4 linked regions of the Saccharomyces cerevisiae S288C genome follow. Changing the gene in region 1 together with any one later gene gives a genetic interaction. Each region holds a gene or a part of one and is shown in the gene's direction. Other genes may lie near its edges. The genes, in order: LSM1, VPS72, MUD2 and ELG1.

Region 1 (3,303 bases):
TGTCTGAAAATAAGAACTCTGAGGCTGAAGACGTATTTGAATTTTTAGATTCTTTGCCAGAAGCAAAGAATGGCGGGAAAATGGTTAATACTGACGTAAAGGGTAGCCAAGAAGGCGTTAAGGGAGGTTCTAATTCTGTGGCGGGCAAGACCGGGAATGATGGAAAGAAAGGTGACGATGATATCTTTGAATTCTTAGAAGAGTTGGAGAAGAGTAACTTAAGCTTAACTGACAAGAAAGGGGTTGAAAAGAAGGCTCCCAGTGAATCAGTTAATAATAAAGCACAAGACGAAAAAGTAGAAGAATCAAAAGAAAACAAAAATTCCGAGCAGGACGCTCACGGAAAGGAAAAGGAACCACAGCAGCAGGAGAAAGAAGAAGAAGAGGAGGAAGAAGAAGAAGAAGAAGAGGAGGAGGAGGAGACCCCATTGCATGACCCAATTGCTTCTATTTCAAACTGGTGGTCCTCCTCTGGATCCGCAAAGGTATCGAGTATTTGGAATAAAACTGCAGAACAAGCATCCCAGATCAAAAACCGACTTGCCCAAGAACAGCTTGATTTGACTTCAAAGATAAACACGAGCACGATTACTGAAATAGCCAGAAACTTACAGAAAATCGTTGTTGGTGAGACTGAAGAGGTGCTGCGAATTCATCTAGTCCATGATTTGGTTAACTATCCCTCATTACAATACAATATTGAAAGCAAGTTTGATCAAGTTCTAAGCTCACAAGTTGAGGGAGGAATCAGAATATTTGTAGATGAATGGGGCCATCCTAACAATAATGGAATTACACCTGTGGAAAAAAAGCCTTCAGTTGCAGACGGTGAGTTAGGCAACTCTAAAAAAAAATTACAGTTTAATCTATTCGACGGCAAGGTAACAGACGGTGAGAAACTGGCATTTGCAAACCTGGAAAATGCAGTCAAACTCTTCAATACTGCACATGAGGAATACCAGAAACAACAGAAAGAGGCTGATGCCACTCCAGATGACGATAGGAGTTCTATTAGCAGTAACAGCAATAAAATCAGTGATTTATTCATATCCATCTTACCAATTGCCATTCCGCAAAAACAAAAAGATGCCGACGGTGACTTTCAAGTGACCGACTCCAATACGCCAGGCAATTTCAATTTCACCCTTGTATTGAAAGACATAACTAACGATATTACCACCATAACAAGATCACAAGGATTCCCTGTCAAATGGGTCAATTGGCTAGAAGGATCCGTGGAGAAAACAGGATCAACAGCAAGTGAGGAGAGGAATAAGTCATACGATCAAAAGAAACAAAAAGAAAGTGAAGACGAAGACGAAGACGATGAGATCATTGATCCTAGTGAATGGGTAAAGGAATGGATCGAAGATGGATTAAGCTTGTCATTTGGGGTCATGGCACAGAATTATGTCATTGACCGTATGGGTCTTTGATACACTTAATACATAACATTTATAGCGTAACGATGATGTATAAAGTTACAAGCGCAGAGGAGTGGGTTCAAATTCGGCCGACTTGTTACCCGCGTTCGTTGAATAATGGAAAATATGAAAAAAATAGAGGAAGTCGTGAATATACAACGGTGTTCAGCACCTGTATTTCAATCTAGGGGAAGCCTGTATGACCAAGGGCTGATTAAATATTAGTGAAGATACAAGTAACACAGTTTAGTTATATTTTCTTTTCCTTTTCAACAGGATTGCCAACGCTGCAGTAGAGTTATACCAACATTTGCTCCGCTTTCAAAACCTATAAAAGAAAGCAGCCCTCGAATCGAATTAATTCACCAAAAATGTCTGCAAATAGCAAGGACAGAAATCAGTCCAATCAGGATGCGAAGCGACAACAGCAGAATTTCCCAAAGAAGATTTCAGAAGGTGAGGCCGATTTATATCTCGACCAGTATAACTTCACTACCACCGCTGCTATTGTAAGCTCAGTAGACCGTAAAATCTTCGTTCTTTTGCGTGATGGAAGAATGCTATTCGGTGTACTAAGAACCTTTGACCAATATGCAAATTTGATACTTCAAGATTGCGTGGAGAGAATATATTTTAGCGAAGAAAACAAATACGCTGAAGAAGACCGCGGCATATTCATGATTCGTGGTGAAAATGTTGTCATGTTAGGCGAAGTAGACATCGATAAAGAAGATCAACCCCTTGAGGCCATGGAACGCATACCATTTAAGGAGGCTTGGCTGACCAAGCAAAAAAATGATGAGAAAAGGTTTAAAGAGGAAACCCACAAAGGTAAAAAAATGGCCCGCCATGGTATCGTTTACGATTTCCATAAATCTGACATGTACTAAGAAAGAAAAACACAATACTACCAACATATATCCTGGAGTAAACTCTCAAAAATTTCCACATTCAGTTTTACCTATCCGTACACTTAATCAACTGCCTTTGGAGATGGAACAATAAAAAAAATGCAAGAGAGGAGGCCGTATTTGTATATAAATTAATATATTTAAATGTAAAATATATACAGTACTTGAGTTTTTTTATGAAGTAACGTATTTGCGCAGCATTCTTTTTCCTCTTACACTTCGTTATAACATTAACACTCATGCTATTGATACTTTTTCTTTATTATTATCTATAAAATTTTTTCGCTTTTTGTTTATGCCATGCCGTTAGCAACGAATTTTTTTCCATGCTCATCACTTTTAAAACTGTTTAAAGTATATAGAAAATATATGTGAATAAGATCGGGGTGGGACTATCAGGTAGCTAAGATTACGCAGATTTAGAAATGTCAACAAATTGTTTTTCCGGTTACAAAGACCTCATCAAGGAAGGCGATTTAACTCTAATATGGGTTTCTAGAGATAACATCAAACCGGTAAGGATGCATTCCGAAGAGGTATTCAATACTCGTTATGGTTCATTTCCTCATAAGGATATCATAGGTAAACCTTATGGTTCTCAAATTGCTATAAGAACAAAGGGCTCAAATAAGTTTGCATTCGTCCATGTTCTGCAACCAACTCCTGAATTGTGGACTTTGTCGTTACCACACAGAACTCAAATTGTATATACGCCCGACTCTTCCTACATCATGCAAAGGTTGAATTGTAGCCCTCACAGCAGAGTGATCGAGGCAGGTACAGGCTCAGGATCATTTTCGCACGCTTTTGCAAGATCTGTAGGTCATCTTTTTAGTTTTGAATTTCATCACATAAGATACGAACAAGCATTAGAGGAATTCAAAGAGCATGGACTTATTGATGATAACGTTACGATTACACATCGGGATGTTTGCCAAGGTGGATTTCTTATAAAGAAGGGAGACACT
Region 2 (5,348 bases), on another chromosome or scaffold:
GGCGGGTGAGCATAGGTTATTGCCTGATGAGTAATTTCTTAGCGAGAATTGATAAAAAAAAGCAAGGCTATTATTAATATACGTGCTATTGTGAAATTTTCATTGGCGTATATATGTGAGGTGAATGTAAATATCTCCAACAAAAAGCAGAAGGCTAAAAAAAAGGAAAGGAAAAGAAGAAAAGGCAACGTCGAAAATGTTTACACCAATTGATCAAGCTATAGAACACTTCAAGCAGAATAAGTTTGTAATTGTTATGGACGATGCCGGTCGTGAAAATGAAGGTGATCTTATTTGCGCTGCTGAAAATGTCAGCACTGAACAAATGGCCTTTCTTGTACGCCATTCCTCAGGCTACGTCTGTGCACCTATGACGAATGCCATTGCTGATAAGTTGGACCTTCCACTACTGAGAACAGGCATGAAGTTTGAATCCAATGATGACGACAGGCATGGAACTGCATACACAATAACTGTAGATGTAGCCCAAGGCACTACCACAGGTATTTCTGCTCACGACAGGTCGATGACTTGTAGGGCTCTTGCAGACTCTTCCTCTACGCCAAAATCATTTTTAAAACCAGGGCACATCTGTCCCTTGAGAGCCGCTGATGGCGGTGTTTTGCAGAGAAGAGGCCACACTGAGGCCGGTGTCGATTTGTGTAAACTAAGTGGACTAAGTCCCGTCGCTGTTATTGGCGAATTGGTTAACGATGACGAACAAGGAACTATGATGAGATTAAATGACTGCCAAGCGTTTGGTAAGAAACATGGCATTCCTTTGATCTCCATCGAAGAATTGGCCCAATATTTGAAGAAATAATCTGGTGAACATTTTCTCCATTCATTCTATCACAACAGACTCACACATATATACATGTATATATTTGTAACTTTGTATATATCTTTTGTTTTTTGACCTTTTTCTTCCTCTATGTTTTTCAGCCATACAAAAATATGGGATTTTTAGCAAGAGAAAAAGTACATCTAAAAAAAGTAGTAATAGGAGGAAGCCAAGATTGGTTGAAACACAGTTATAAACTCTTCAAGGCAATTATGAACAGGATTTTCGGATATGGGAACAAAAAGAGCCATGATCAGCTCTTACAAGAGTCGAATCAGTCCATGAATCAGGCCCAACAATCACTATCGAACAGAATATCCCAGTTAGATACTCAAATCGCCCAGTTAAACTTCCAGCTGCAAAATATTCAAAAGAATTTGCAAAGATCAAACAACAAGCAACCCTCGTTAAGAAAACAGGCTTTGAAGATTTTAAATAAACGTAAACAGTTAGAAAATATGAAGGATTCTTTAGATTCTCAATCCTGGTCCATGACGCAAGCCCAGTTAACAAATGATAACTTACAGAACACAATGATCACTATAAACGCACTAAAGCAAACAAACAATGCCATGAAGGCTCAATACGGCAAGATAAATATCGACAAACTACAGGACATGCAGGATGAGATGCTGGATTTAATAGAACAAGGGGATGAGCTGCAAGAAGTCTTGGCAATGAATAATAACAGTGGCGAGCTCGACGACATTAGTGATGCAGAGCTGGATGCAGAGCTGGATGCTCTGGCACAAGAGGATTTCACTTTGCCAACCAGCGAAAACTCATTAGGTAACGATATGCCCAGTTACTTACTAGGTGCGAATGCGCCACCGGCTTTTATTGATGAAGAGCCAAACTTAGATACTGAAGACAAAAATAAAGCTTTAGAAAGCGCTCAGTGAAAACAAAAAGCACACAAAGTTGCATATTCAGAATTTTTCTCTCCTTTCCCTTTTCTTTATATTCTCTTTGCTGGTAAGCCAAAATATGTACCTTATTTAGGTTTTAGTAGTTTTCTTTTTTCTTTGTTAAAAAAATCCTGATGGAAAAAACAGTAAGCAGAAAGCACCATGTAGTCTAATGAATACAAATAGAAGTGAAACCGAAGCAAATTCACAGTGCACGATGAGTGATGAAGGTGCTGATAAAAGTCTAGATACTAACACAGAATTTATTATACAAACACGATCTAGGAGGTCTAATGCCGGTAATAAATTACAAAAACTATTGGAGCAGGAGCTAAGAGATATAGAATCTACCAAAAGACAAATTTCTTCCTATAAGAATGGTAATGATGATGAAGAAGATGAAATAGGGCTGTTGTTTCAGGAAGATGAAGATGATGAAGATTTCGAAATGATGGCAAAAGATGACGATGATGAAGGGGAAGAAAAAGAAGATGAGACTCAAAGTATAAGGAAAGAGCCCTCTCAGGCTTCAAGTGAGCAAGCAGCCGATGACTTAATGTTCAGCAGTAGCGAATCTGAGGACTCCAGCAACGAGAATGATGAAGATGCAGAGGAAAAGGAAATACGAAGACAAGAACTACTTTCAAGAAAGAAAAGAAACAAGAGATTACAGAAGGGTCCCGTTGTAATCAAAAAACAAAAACCTAAGCCTAAGTCAGGAGAAGCTATACCAAGATCGCACCATACCCATGAACAATTAAACGCAGAGACGTTACTATTAAATACAAGGAGAACTTCTAAAAGATCATCGGTAATGGAAAACACGATGAAAGTTTATGAGAAATTGTCTAAAGCTGAAAAAAAGAGAAAAATTATACAAGAAAGAATAAGGAAACACAAGGAGCAGGAGTCTCAGCATATGCTGACACAAGAAGAGAGGCTACGGATTGCCAAGGAGACTGAGAAGCTGAATATTTTGTCACTGGATAAGTTCAAGGAACAAGAAGTTTGGAAAAAGGAGAATCGTCTAGCTTTGCAGAAAAGACAAAAGCAGAAATTCCAGCCAAATGAGACTATACTGCAATTTTTATCTACTGCTTGGCTAATGACGCCAGCGATGGAGTTAGAAGATCGTAAATATTGGCAGGAACAATTGAATAAACGTGATAAGAAGAAGAAAAAATATCCGAGGAAGCCAAAGAAGAATTTAAATCTCGGAAAACAGGACGCATCAGATGATAAAAAGCGGGAGAGTGAAGAATCGATAAAGAACGATGGCGACGTGAATTCTTTGGGTGAGAATTCTTCATCTGTACACAACCAGAAAAGGATTGAGGAAACTTCTACTAACGATACAGTTGAAGGAGAATCGAGTCCAGATGCAGCGGTGAGTAGAGTAAATTCAGACGAATTAAAGCCAACAGCATTACCTGATGTTACATTGGACGCAATTGCAAACAAGCAGAGTACCGTTGATGAAGCTCCCAACAGCCAACCACAAAAGAATATAATAACTAATGAGCAAAAAATTACCAATGTAGGCGAACCGATACAAAATTTACATAATGAAGAAATTAAAGATGAAATGGTAAGTGCTCTCGAGAGCAGGGAAAATACTTTTGAAAACTCATCACCTGCTGCCCAAGTGGTCTCACAAAGGGATAATTCTGCAACACCTACACCATCAAACTCCACTGGCACTGAAGATACTATATTGATCTCTCCGGATACGGATATAAAAGGAGAGCCTGAACCTTGTCTGAAAACCGAAGGCATCGAGAACTTATCTCATAATGTACCACAAGAGACCAAAAGCAATACTGATGTTTCTTTCTTGAAACAAGTAACGTTTACCGACCATCCGCAAGTGGCCATAATCGATACTGAAGAGTCACCCTCAAAAAAAGATACAGCTAATGTTGATGAATCTTCCGCGGAAAACTCTTTATCAACACAGACCTACGAAGGGCCTGAGCAATTAACCTCAAGGAACTTTGTTACACTTTATGATTTTCCTAATGCTCCTCCAAATCTAAAAGATTTTAACACAAACTTATTTGGTGATCGATGGTCATACACAAATGGGTTATCCGCCACTCAGCGTCCACAAGATATGAAAACTGTTTTCCACTCCATTTTACCATCACCTCCTCAGTCTTCAGTACCGTCTCCTACCGTAGATATATCACTTGATCTGTCAGCTCTGGCAAATTTCCCATCTTTTGGGGAATACGATAAGAAAATAGTCCATCAAATCAACACAGAGATAAATAAGGATTTGGAAATCAAAATTAAAACACAGCCTCCAACGGGTGTCTTCTTAGCCAATGGTATAAGAAAAAAATGTTTAATCACAAATAAAGAATGTCAGTACTTTGATCCAAGGACTGGTGTGCCTTATTCTGATGTGGAAGCTTATAAAATTATTCAGCGGATTCAAGATCCTATTTCTAAGGAGGAGGGAAGGTCAGATATCAAGCGTGATGAAACGACAAATGAGGATAGTGACGATCAAGTGAGATTCAAGTGGTTTGGGTTCAAAAACGGCGGTATTTACCTTGATTTAAGTCAAAGACCTGCAAAAGGTGTTCCTGAAGGATTTTAATTGAGACAGACTATATAATGGTAGGTCGTTAAACATTTGACTATATTCCACACAAAATAAGAAATCATAAAGATCATTTTACATAAAAATATACTTTATACGCTCCATGTCTTATACAATCGTTACATTCATCAATTTCTGGTGAAAGCTTCAACTAAAGTTTTGAAATGATTTTCGGTCTCTCTGATTATTAGTGGTACGCTTGAATCATTATCGTCGTCATTCGCAACTTTCGTACCAACATTTTCAGCAGAATCAAAATTGTAGTTTTGTGCATCCGAGTCATTTATATTTAAATGTAGATGCAATTGCTGTAGGTTATTGTATAAATACATGTAATTTGTAGCCAGAAATCTTTCTGGTGATTTCGTCTTTTTACTGCACTTTGTCATGACTGTTTCGAAATCATTTCTTAATCTAATGATGGAATTGTATAAGGGTTCAGATCTTTCGTCTATGGACTGCTTATGTGTTATTGCCAACGTCAAGAAGCTTGATAAAAATTTACCGAACTGTACAGTTAACTCATGAGGTGAGGTCAAAGGGCTACTATTGGATGTGCTTGAGTTGCCGGCATATTTTGCCACATTTGTAGTTATTGCCGCTTTTCGTAAGCTCTCGCATTGAAAATCGACCAATTGCTGAAATCGAGGCCATAATTGAATTAATTGACCATTCAAGAAACTATCAAACATAGACGGTATTCCTCTCCTTTCTGATTCAAATTGTAATTGATTGGCCACACGAATACTTATTAATACACCAAAAATGTCATAATTATATTGGATCAGTTGTTGAGTGTATGTTGTGGCTTCATCAAAAGTTGGTTGAAATATTTGTTCCAATAAACCATTAATTTCCTCAAAATTATCGCCATTCATAGCGAAGAAATCTTTTAAAAAATGGTACTCCACCGTACAGTTATCTAAAATTGCAAGGTTTAAATTTTTAAATCCAATTTCAATGTAGTTTTTCGTTGTGTTATTTTCTG
Region 3 (4,366 bases), on another chromosome or scaffold:
TTAGATAACTTGATCCCTCTCATAACAACACCATTCACAGCTGATTCATCAGCATTGACATTTCTCAACACTTTTTCTTCGGATACGAGTTTGATTAATTGATCCTGCACAATGGGAATTCGGGAAGAGCCTCCCGCCAAAATGACCCCATTTATCTCAGGTAAATTTGTTCCATAGCCACCGAATTGTTTTGTAACAGCGTCATTTATGGGTTTGACAATGTCCAATAACGAGTCTGCAATAAATTCTTCGAATTCCTGTCTAGTTATAGAAGTACGGAAATCAATATCGTTGATCAGTGATTCTATGTTAATACTTGCCTCAGAATTGGCGCTTAAAATTAACTTTGCCTTCTCTGCTGCTTGGTTGATTTTTGCTAAGGCCTTGGGATTAGCGTGCAATTCATCAGTTCTTATGGCTGGGTGTGTTTCCAAAAACTTATTCTCTATCAAACTGCCAATATCCATTGTAAACTTTGCACCACCTAGATGTGGATTATACCCATATCCTTCAAATTCTATTGTAACGGGCTGAGTAGTGTCCTCCGGCTGCAATATAGAGAACATTGAGGCCTTAATAGAACCGCTCCCCATGTCATATACGATATAATGCTGCTGTTCACCTGGTGGAAATTGGCGCTGCTTTAATACAAAGTTAACTGCAACAGACATCCCTTCACTAACCAGATATGTCTCTTCGATTCCTGTGGTTATTGAACTGGCATCTAAAAGTGCTTTCCTTTGATGTTGGTCAAAAAAGTCAGGAATTGTAAAACTCATCTTGTTTACAAAGTCCTCAGTTCTTGCATCTCTATCCTTCAACAGTGAATTGGCTCTATTGGCAATCTCTTGGACATTCATTGCCACTAACTCTTCCAATGGATATTCCACATTATCAACTAAAAAGGCTATGGTACTTCTATTTGTTGATACCATTTCTAAACCGGGGTGTTGTTTTGAATACAAAGTTACAGTGGTTTCATCTTCTAGTGATTTCCCAAGTAGCGGTTTCAAATGCAACAATGTGTTTTGGGGAAACCTTGTTGCTAAACTGCCAACAGCGGAACCGTAGATTCTTTCAATCCCATTCGGATCATCCTTTCCATAACCTGGTAATCTTTTTATCGAAAGACCAGATATCTCCTTCCGTTTTGCCTCTGGTGTGAGCACAAGTTCTAATGGGGCTTGCGGAGAAACCACAATGGCCTTGATATTTTGCTGACCGTAATCAACACCTAAAACGGCTGCTAAAGACCCTATAGCAACAAAAGCTGTTAAAAATAAAAGCCTTAAAACGTTTCGCATGGTAATATGCGTACTTATTTGCACTAATAATGCCAGAATACTGCAGGAGCGATACTGTTAATATTACGCTGTAGAATGGATCACTTTTATAACAGCGTGTTCGATATTATATATTTGAGGCGCGCGCCTAATTAGCAAGTGCTGAAAAAATTCGAGATGAGAAATTAAACTGTACATGCTAATATAAAAGAAGTAGAAAAGGAAAGTTAATTGACACAGAAAACAAGCACACGGAGATGGCTGATGAAAAGAGACTGGAGGATTTGAGATCCAAAATAATGGAGTCTATAGGAAAATCAGAAAAGGATGTTGTGCCGATTGAGAACAAAAGATTCAACACGGATAATGCAGTTATAGATACACATTTTAAGAGGCAAAAAAGTGACGGTGAGCTTCCGAAAGCGCCAAAAAGTAGAAACGTTTCACATTCTAATAACAGAGGACCATCGTCAATAATTACTATGAGCACGAATCGAACGACTTATGAACAAACAAGGGCAGGTCCTCATCGTCAAAGTTATCGGGATGCATCGGGAAGATCATATAACAGGGAGAATCGGTATAGTAGTCACAATACTGGGCCCCAATGGAACAACAATCCCTATAATAGGCAACGGGATGAAAGAAGAGGAAGAAATGAAAGGTTCGATAGAAGGGGAAGAAATGGAAACGGAAACTACGATCGTTTCAATTACCAAAGGAAGAACGAAGGTTCTAAATTCAATGGCGACCGTGATAAAAGGCAGTTGCAAACTAATAAATATGACATGAACTATAATTCCCAAAATGTAATGTACCCGGGTTCATCATTCGATTCTCCGGCTTACTACAACATGGCCTCATCCAAGGCAAATTCAAGGCTTGTAATTTCGGGCTTGTCTCAAAGCAGCGACCCCAGCATTGTAGCAAGATTGAAAGATTTGCTGGAAAATTTTATTTCAGGTCTCCAGAAAACTGAGAGTAATGCGGAGGACTTTAAAATTTCCAACTTTTATATTGGTGAAGGAAGGCCGGACCATATTATTGTTGAGTTTAGTTCTCAGATCTGTAGCACTATGGTTTTGGCCTGTCGATCATTCTTTAATGCGAAGCTTGGTACTTTCGACTTAAAATGGAGAAGACCTAATGATTATGTTCAACAACTTGATCATCTGGTCGATTTTTGCAGGGGTACGGTAATTGCATTGGAAAATTTGGAAAATATAGGCGAGGGTGAAGATTATAGAATGAAAGAGCTTTTTTCGTCATTGAATGTAACAAACGGTACCGCTAAGCCACTTTTTTACAAATGTTCGTCCAATACAAACAACACTGGCAAAGAATCCGAATTCACTAAATGTATTCTATTATCGTTTGAAGTCGTCACTCAGGATATTCTTGATAAATTAAAACCATACAAATGGTTCAAGCCAAATGATGGAAAGATATCACAAGTTACTTCATGGATTACGTTTCAAAGCCTGCCAAATCTGGTTACCCAATCTGTTCGTGTTGAATCGAGAGTTTTGTTGCTCTTAAATTGTCTTGATCCATTGGATTTGAAAGATGAAACCTTTATCACAGAAATTAAAGAAACATTAAAGTATAGTATCGCGGGAGCAGATACGATTAAAATATGCCAACCCGGCGTCGATTACAGACTTAATTTTGAAAACTTGGCTTCCGGAGCCGGTAATATTTATATCAAGTTCAAGACCTTGGAGGCAGCAAAACACGCAATGGAAGAATTGCCGGGTACGCAATTCAACGATCGCACTGTTCTGTGTACTTATATAGATGAGGACGACTTTGACATGATGGAAGCAACCCAACTTTCCTAAATGGTCTATTTTGTAGAGCGAAATTAAGTAAAGAATTGAGTATTCATTATGTAGATCTAATCTTTAACGCAGTGAAAAAAGTCCTCGTTTTTGGTGACTTTTTTTGTACAATTACTTTTTTGAAATATAACGAAAGTTAGCAGATTGACTACTAACTTGCGATCTGGAAAATTAAGAGAATTCAAACTTTTTTTGTTGCATGGGTCAATAATCATCATTAGAGCTTGCCTTGATCAATTTCCTTCACATTTTTGGAATAACTAACATTATAAATCAAGCCTAGTATAGCGCGCCAAAGAAGATGGCTAAAGATTTATTGCCCAAGCAAGCGGCCAACGAGCCATCGTTAAAGGACTGTACCTGTAAAAGATGTCTTAAATTGGGTGCTTCAAAAGAAAAAAAGATTAGAAGAAAGAAGAAAGGTGAGGAGAAAAGAGAAAGACATTATGGAAATAGACGAAAGTTAACATTCAACTTTTTGAAGCATACGAACATGGAAAATACAAATTACGACGTAATCACTTCGGTTGGATATCTGAATGAAAAATACGGATTGAAAAAATCACATTACATTGAAAAATTTATCAAATGCATCCATAGAAAAATAAATATCGATGTTAGCAAAATTACGGACGCCTATGTAAACTCGCTAAACCCGTGGGTTAAAGTAAAACTCTTCCTTTTATTGGTGACATTGTCTGAAAAGGGTGGTCCGGAATACTGGCTAGATAAGACAGATGGTGAAAAGAACTCAGAGGCGTCTTCAACAGATAATAGTTTGGAAAATTCTACTAAAGGAGCAGATAGCGCTGGATCTACTGCTTTGAGAGATGAAATGGTCAAAAGCCATAAAAACCTTTTCCCAACTCTTACAGAGCAAATCATACAGCATAACATCAACCAAGATTTTACGGAATCGACTTACGACGAGGATTATGTATTTTCGTCAATTTGGGCAAACTTCATGGAAGGACTGATCAATCACTATTTGGAAAAAGTCATTGTACCTTACTCGGAAATGAAAGTCTGTCAGCAATTATACAAGCCTATGATGAAAATTATCTCCCTCTATAACGAATACAATGAGCTTATGGTCAAAAGCGAAAAGAACGGATTCTTGCCTTCTCTACAAGACTCCGAAAATGTCCAAGGTGATAAAGGCGAAAAAGAGAGCAAGGATGATGCCGTTAGCCAAGAAAGACTGGAAAGAGCGCAAAAGCTGTTATGGCAAGCTCGAGAAGA
Region 4 (4,583 bases), on another chromosome or scaffold:
TTGGAAATGTTCGGATGTGCCTTTGGGCGATCAAACATCTAACAGGTAACGAACTCTTGTAAGGTGTTATAAAAGGTCTGACATTTCCATGATTAGTTGCGACGTAAGTTCGAATACAGTGTCTTACGAGATGACTTGTAATTGGAAGCAGTGGCCGCTTTATTGTAGGGACCCGTAAACGTGTGATTAGCATGAATTTTATAAACCTCCCACCACCTGATAATCTGTATGTGCCTTTTGTTTTAATACTTCTTGACGCAAATCTACTGTCAACTTTAATATGCATCCCTCCATAGTAAGTCAAGGATCAGCTAGAACCAATAACGAGAAGTAAAAAAAAGTGACAAAAAGTCAAATGTGTCTTTATACGAATTTTTTAACCTACATATGAAGAGTAAGGTCATAAATAATAAATGTAGGGCTAAATGCAGTTAAGATTACTACAGTATTAGGTCTGTTTTTTATCACCTCTTACGGAAAGTGCGAGCGGGAAAAAATTTTTCTTCTTTCCTTATTATCATACCGATGCTCATCACAATGAAAGATACATATTGCATCAATAATAGGCAGTTTTCAATATTCTTCTGTTTAGTTAAGAAAAAGACTTGAAGTGAAAATAAACTACATTATGGTTGCGCCTACTGCTTTGAAAAAGGCTACTGTGACACCTGTAAGTGGACAAGATGGGGGCAGTAGTAGAATTATAGGAATAAATAATACCGAAAGCATCGATGAGGACGATGATGACGACGTTCTGTTAGATGATTCCGACAATAACACAGCAAAAGAAGAGGTAGAGGGCGAAGAAGGTAGCCGGAAAACGCACGAATCTAAGACCGTAGTGGTTGATGACCAGGGGAAACCTCGCTTCACTTCAGCTAGCAAAACACAGGGTAACAAAATAAAATTTGAATCGAGAAAGATCATGGTTCCACCACACAGAATGACACCCTTGAGGAACAGTTGGACAAAAATTTATCCTCCTTTGGTCGAGCACTTGAAGCTGCAAGTCAGAATGAATTTAAAGACCAAATCCGTAGAACTAAGAACGAATCCTAAATTTACCACAGACCCTGGTGCGTTGCAAAAAGGGGCCGATTTTATCAAAGCCTTTACCTTAGGGTTTGATCTTGACGATTCTATCGCACTATTGAGGCTAGATGATTTATATATTGAGACTTTTGAAGTCAAAGATGTCAAGACTCTAACAGGTGACCATTTGTCGAGAGCCATCGGTCGTATTGCCGGTAAAGACGGTAAAACGAAATTTGCGATTGAAAACGCTACAAGAACAAGAATTGTCTTAGCTGACTCTAAAATCCACATTTTGGGCGGGTTCACCCACATCAGAATGGCAAGAGAATCTGTGGTTAGTTTAATTTTGGGTTCCCCTCCAGGTAAAGTTTATGGGAACTTACGTACCGTTGCATCTAGATTAAAAGAACGCTACTAAACATAATTTGTGGGCTTTCATCATCTGTATAATATTTATATGTCGTTTTATGGCGAAATAGAGTGAATAAATAGGTTTTTTTTTCCTTCTTTTTTTTAGGACGCCAAACGCGTAACGTTAGCGGTGATAAATTAGTTTAGTATTATTATCCGGCTATTTGCTTCATGTATTTAACGTCTTCACTGACCACCTTCGCTGCACTAAATCGTATGGTACCATAGCATTAAACTTTTTGAATCAGAGAAGGTTTTCCAATGAAAAGGCACGTGTCTTTATCTGATATATTGACAGGAAATAAGAGAAAAGTGAGAAGACAAGATGCTCTACAGATTACCATCGATGACGAAAATGATACTGAATCAGGCACTTTTGACGCCAGAACAGCCAAACATGACGATTCTTCAGTAATATTTTTAAACCACTCTGTTGTGAAGCCAATTGAAGCTGTTTCTACTAATCACAAATCTGCAAAGGAGTTTTTGATGACGAAACGCACAAAAGAAAAATGCGATGACGACGATGATGATCTTATTGTAATCAGTGATAAGAGTCCCAAAAGTGAGACTAATTGTAGCAAAATTGCACTTTCGCAGGAGCATGAAGATGATATTTCTATAATTTCCACATCGAGAATCAAATCATCGCTTCTTAATGAAAGAGCATCAAAGATTAAAAACTTCCTTAAACATGAGACAACCGACACGTTCAAAAGATTAAATAGCATCTCTAAACTAAATGAAATAGAGCCACCATTACCATTACATCAATCGATTTTCCCAGTAGGTGACAAAGAGCTGTCAGATCGGAGTGTTGATATCCCGCTTCCTTTCCGCACAATACCGCCATTAAATCATAATTTTCTTCCTAGTGACTATGAATCGTTGAAAGACAAGAATTCAGCATCTTGTATTCCTGTTCGCTATCAAGCACCGGTATTACTTGGCACAAATATTAAAAGAAATACAACTCTCACATGGCCGCAGCTATTCAAGCCTGTCACTTTAAAACAAGTATTAATTGAACCCAAATTGAAACTTCGAATCAAAAATTGGATTGAAACATCCTTTCATACGCTAGAAAAGCCTACCTTGAGGAACCGTCTATTGAACAGAATAAATCCCAATAAACAACAGGGATCTGGTGATGAGCTTGCCAACTTCATTGTACCTGATCTCGAAGAAGACGAAAACTTGCGTCCAGATTTCTACAGAAATGGCGAAGCAAATAGCAGCTTGAGCGAATTTGTTCCACTAATGATATTACACGGAAATTCAATAGGCAAGAAAACGCTGATACAGACAATCATGAGAGAGATTGCTGGCGACGATAATTCTTACCAGATATATGAAGTTAATTCAAACATGAACAGGAGCAAAAAAGATTTGCTTGATATCCTACTAGATTTTACCACCACACACTATGTCAAAGATTCCTCAAAAAGGAAAAGTGACTACGGGCTTGTTTTATTTAATGATGTTGATGTTTTATTTAAAGAACATGATAGGGGATATTGGGCAATGATCAGCAAGCTTTGTGAATTTTCACGAAGGCCCCTCGTATTGACTTGTAAGGATTTGTCACTAGTTCCTAGTGAACTTATTGCCTTGGCAAGTGAACAAAACTCTTTGTTTCATACTAAGAAAATTAGTACATCCACAGTCTATGCGTTTCTAACAAAATATTTAAAGTCCCTTGAAATCGAAGTTTGTGACGACTGGCTTCGCGATGTTGTAAAACAAAATAATGCGGATATTAGGAAGTGCTTGATGCACTTGCAGTTTTGGTGCGTTGATACTGAGGCTGATTTGATTTCATCCAAGAACAGACTACCGGTCCTAACATCAACTCTTGGTTCAAGCGTTAAAGATATATCGCAATTAACTGATCTACTCTCCATAAATGATGTTATTGGTCAAGCAACGCTCAATCGTTCCATGGTTAGACAAGAAATAGATTCTACCACAATGACCCCAGAAAAAGTTAATACTTTCCAGGATCAAAATCTGGATGATGAAATGAAACTAAAATTTGATTACGTGATAGATTATAAATTGCATTTAAATGACCCCAATAGACAACCGTTATTACCGTTTGAATTGAATATTTACCAACACATCCAAGAACAATTGGAAGCTCGGTATTCCTATGTTAGAGAAGCAAACCATAGGCTTGATAACGAATACCTTGTTAACAGGTTCAAAAAAATGACAGAATCTACATTAAATTTTTTGGCGTCAAGAATACCGAAGTATGACCATCTTCAGTCGGCAAGAAGGACGAGAAATTCGAAGAAAATTTCTGATATTTTGAACCAATTCAAAGGAATTTATAATGATGAAACTCTGAACGAAAATGCCGAGATTGATCTGCTGAGCGCCACAACTCAACAAATTAAAGCGGAGATCAATCCCTTCGTTTTTGAAATCGCTAAAAGTGACGCCAATGTCAAGAATGAAAACAAACAAATATTTGAGTTGCATAGTGAAAATGTATCAGAAAGACGATACAAAGATTTGGTCTATCAGTTGTCACAAGAGGGTGTCTTGAAAAACGTATGGTTCAACGCTGATCCGAGCATAGTCGTGAGAAAATGGGAGCATTTGCACTCAGGCTTTTCAAAGAACAAATAACACTGATATGAAATTGCGTGCATCGTTACAGGAACACGTATGTATAATAAATATAGCATGGTAGTGCGGGGAAATATACTACTACTTTATATATCAATAAATTCTGCAACCTTGCATTAAGCAAATGCAGCACAATCCTAAATTCCTTCTAATAGTTGCCTTTATTTCCTCATAGTGCATATTTCAAAACAGCGAAAAATGCAAAATATGCGAAAACTTGAAAAAAAATGGCTGATGGGAATTACAAATAAAGCGTGAATGATAAGGCGTTTATAAAAGATTTAGCTTCTTAAGTACTGTGGTTTTGATAAAAGCTAGAAATTTGTAGATCACAATTGGTCACAAAGAACAATAAAAAGCTGAATATCACTGCTATGAGCGAGGAGTGTATTGAAAATCCTGAACGTATTAAAATTGGTACTGATTTAATCAACATCCGAAATAAAATGAACTTAAAAGAACTAATCCATCCAAACGAGGATGAAAACTCTACCCTACTC

The links.
Region 2: mutations in LSM1 (region 1) and VPS72 together harm fitness more than expected from each alone (negative genetic interaction), as found in Saccharomyces cerevisiae (5 studies listed by BioGRID).
Region 3: mutations in LSM1 (region 1) and MUD2 together harm fitness more than expected from each alone (negative genetic interaction), as found in Saccharomyces cerevisiae (5 studies listed by BioGRID).
Region 4: mutations in LSM1 (region 1) and ELG1 together harm fitness more than expected from each alone (negative genetic interaction), as found in Saccharomyces cerevisiae (5 studies listed by BioGRID, with this or other methods).

The regions. Positions count from the first base shown.
Region 1 is NC_001142.9:186,137-189,439, reverse strand, and holds LSM1 (Lsm1p), read left to right. Parts: upstream 1-1,795; coding exon 1,796-2,314; downstream 2,315-3,303. Other genes in the region: DUF5427 domain-containing protein MTC1, read left to right, coding at 1-1,436; tRNA 1-methyladenosine methyltransferase subunit GCD14, read left to right, coding at 2,761-3,303. UniProt on the Saccharomyces cerevisiae protein: Component of the cytoplasmic LSM1-LSM7 complex which is involved in mRNA degradation by activating the decapping step.
Region 2 is NC_001136.10:1,423,829-1,429,176, reverse strand, and holds VPS72 (Vps72p), read left to right. Parts: upstream 1-1,969; coding exon 1,970-4,357; downstream 4,358-5,348. Other genes in the region: 3,4-dihydroxy-2-butanone-4-phosphate synthase RIB3, read left to right, coding at 197-823; VPS60 (Vps60p), read left to right, coding at 1,057-1,746; VPS52 (Vps52p), read right to left, coding at 4,489-5,348. UniProt on the Saccharomyces cerevisiae protein: Participates in the catalytic exchange of histone H2A for the H2A variant HTZ1, an euchromatin-specific factor, leading to chromatin remodeling and changes in transcription of targeted genes. Indirectly involved in vacuolar protein sorting.
Region 3 is NC_001143.9:293,368-297,733, reverse strand, and holds MUD2 (Mud2p), read left to right. Parts: upstream 1-1,540; coding exon 1,541-3,124; downstream 3,125-4,366. Other genes in the region: Hsp70 family chaperone LHS1, read right to left, coding at 1-1,304; AAN1 (Aan1p), read left to right, coding at 3,426-4,366. UniProt on the Saccharomyces cerevisiae protein: Splicing factor that contacts pre-mRNA directly and is a component of the pre-mRNA-U1 snRNP complex (commitment complex 2) that forms during early spliceosome assembly in yeast extracts.
Region 4 is NC_001147.6:602,217-606,799, reverse strand, and holds ELG1 (Elg1p), read left to right. Parts: upstream 1-1,707; coding exon 1,708-4,083; downstream 4,084-4,583. Other genes in the region: MDM32 (Mdm32p), read right to left, coding at 1-193; PNO1 (Pno1p), read left to right, coding at 629-1,453; THI80 (thiamine diphosphokinase), read left to right, coding at 4,458-4,583.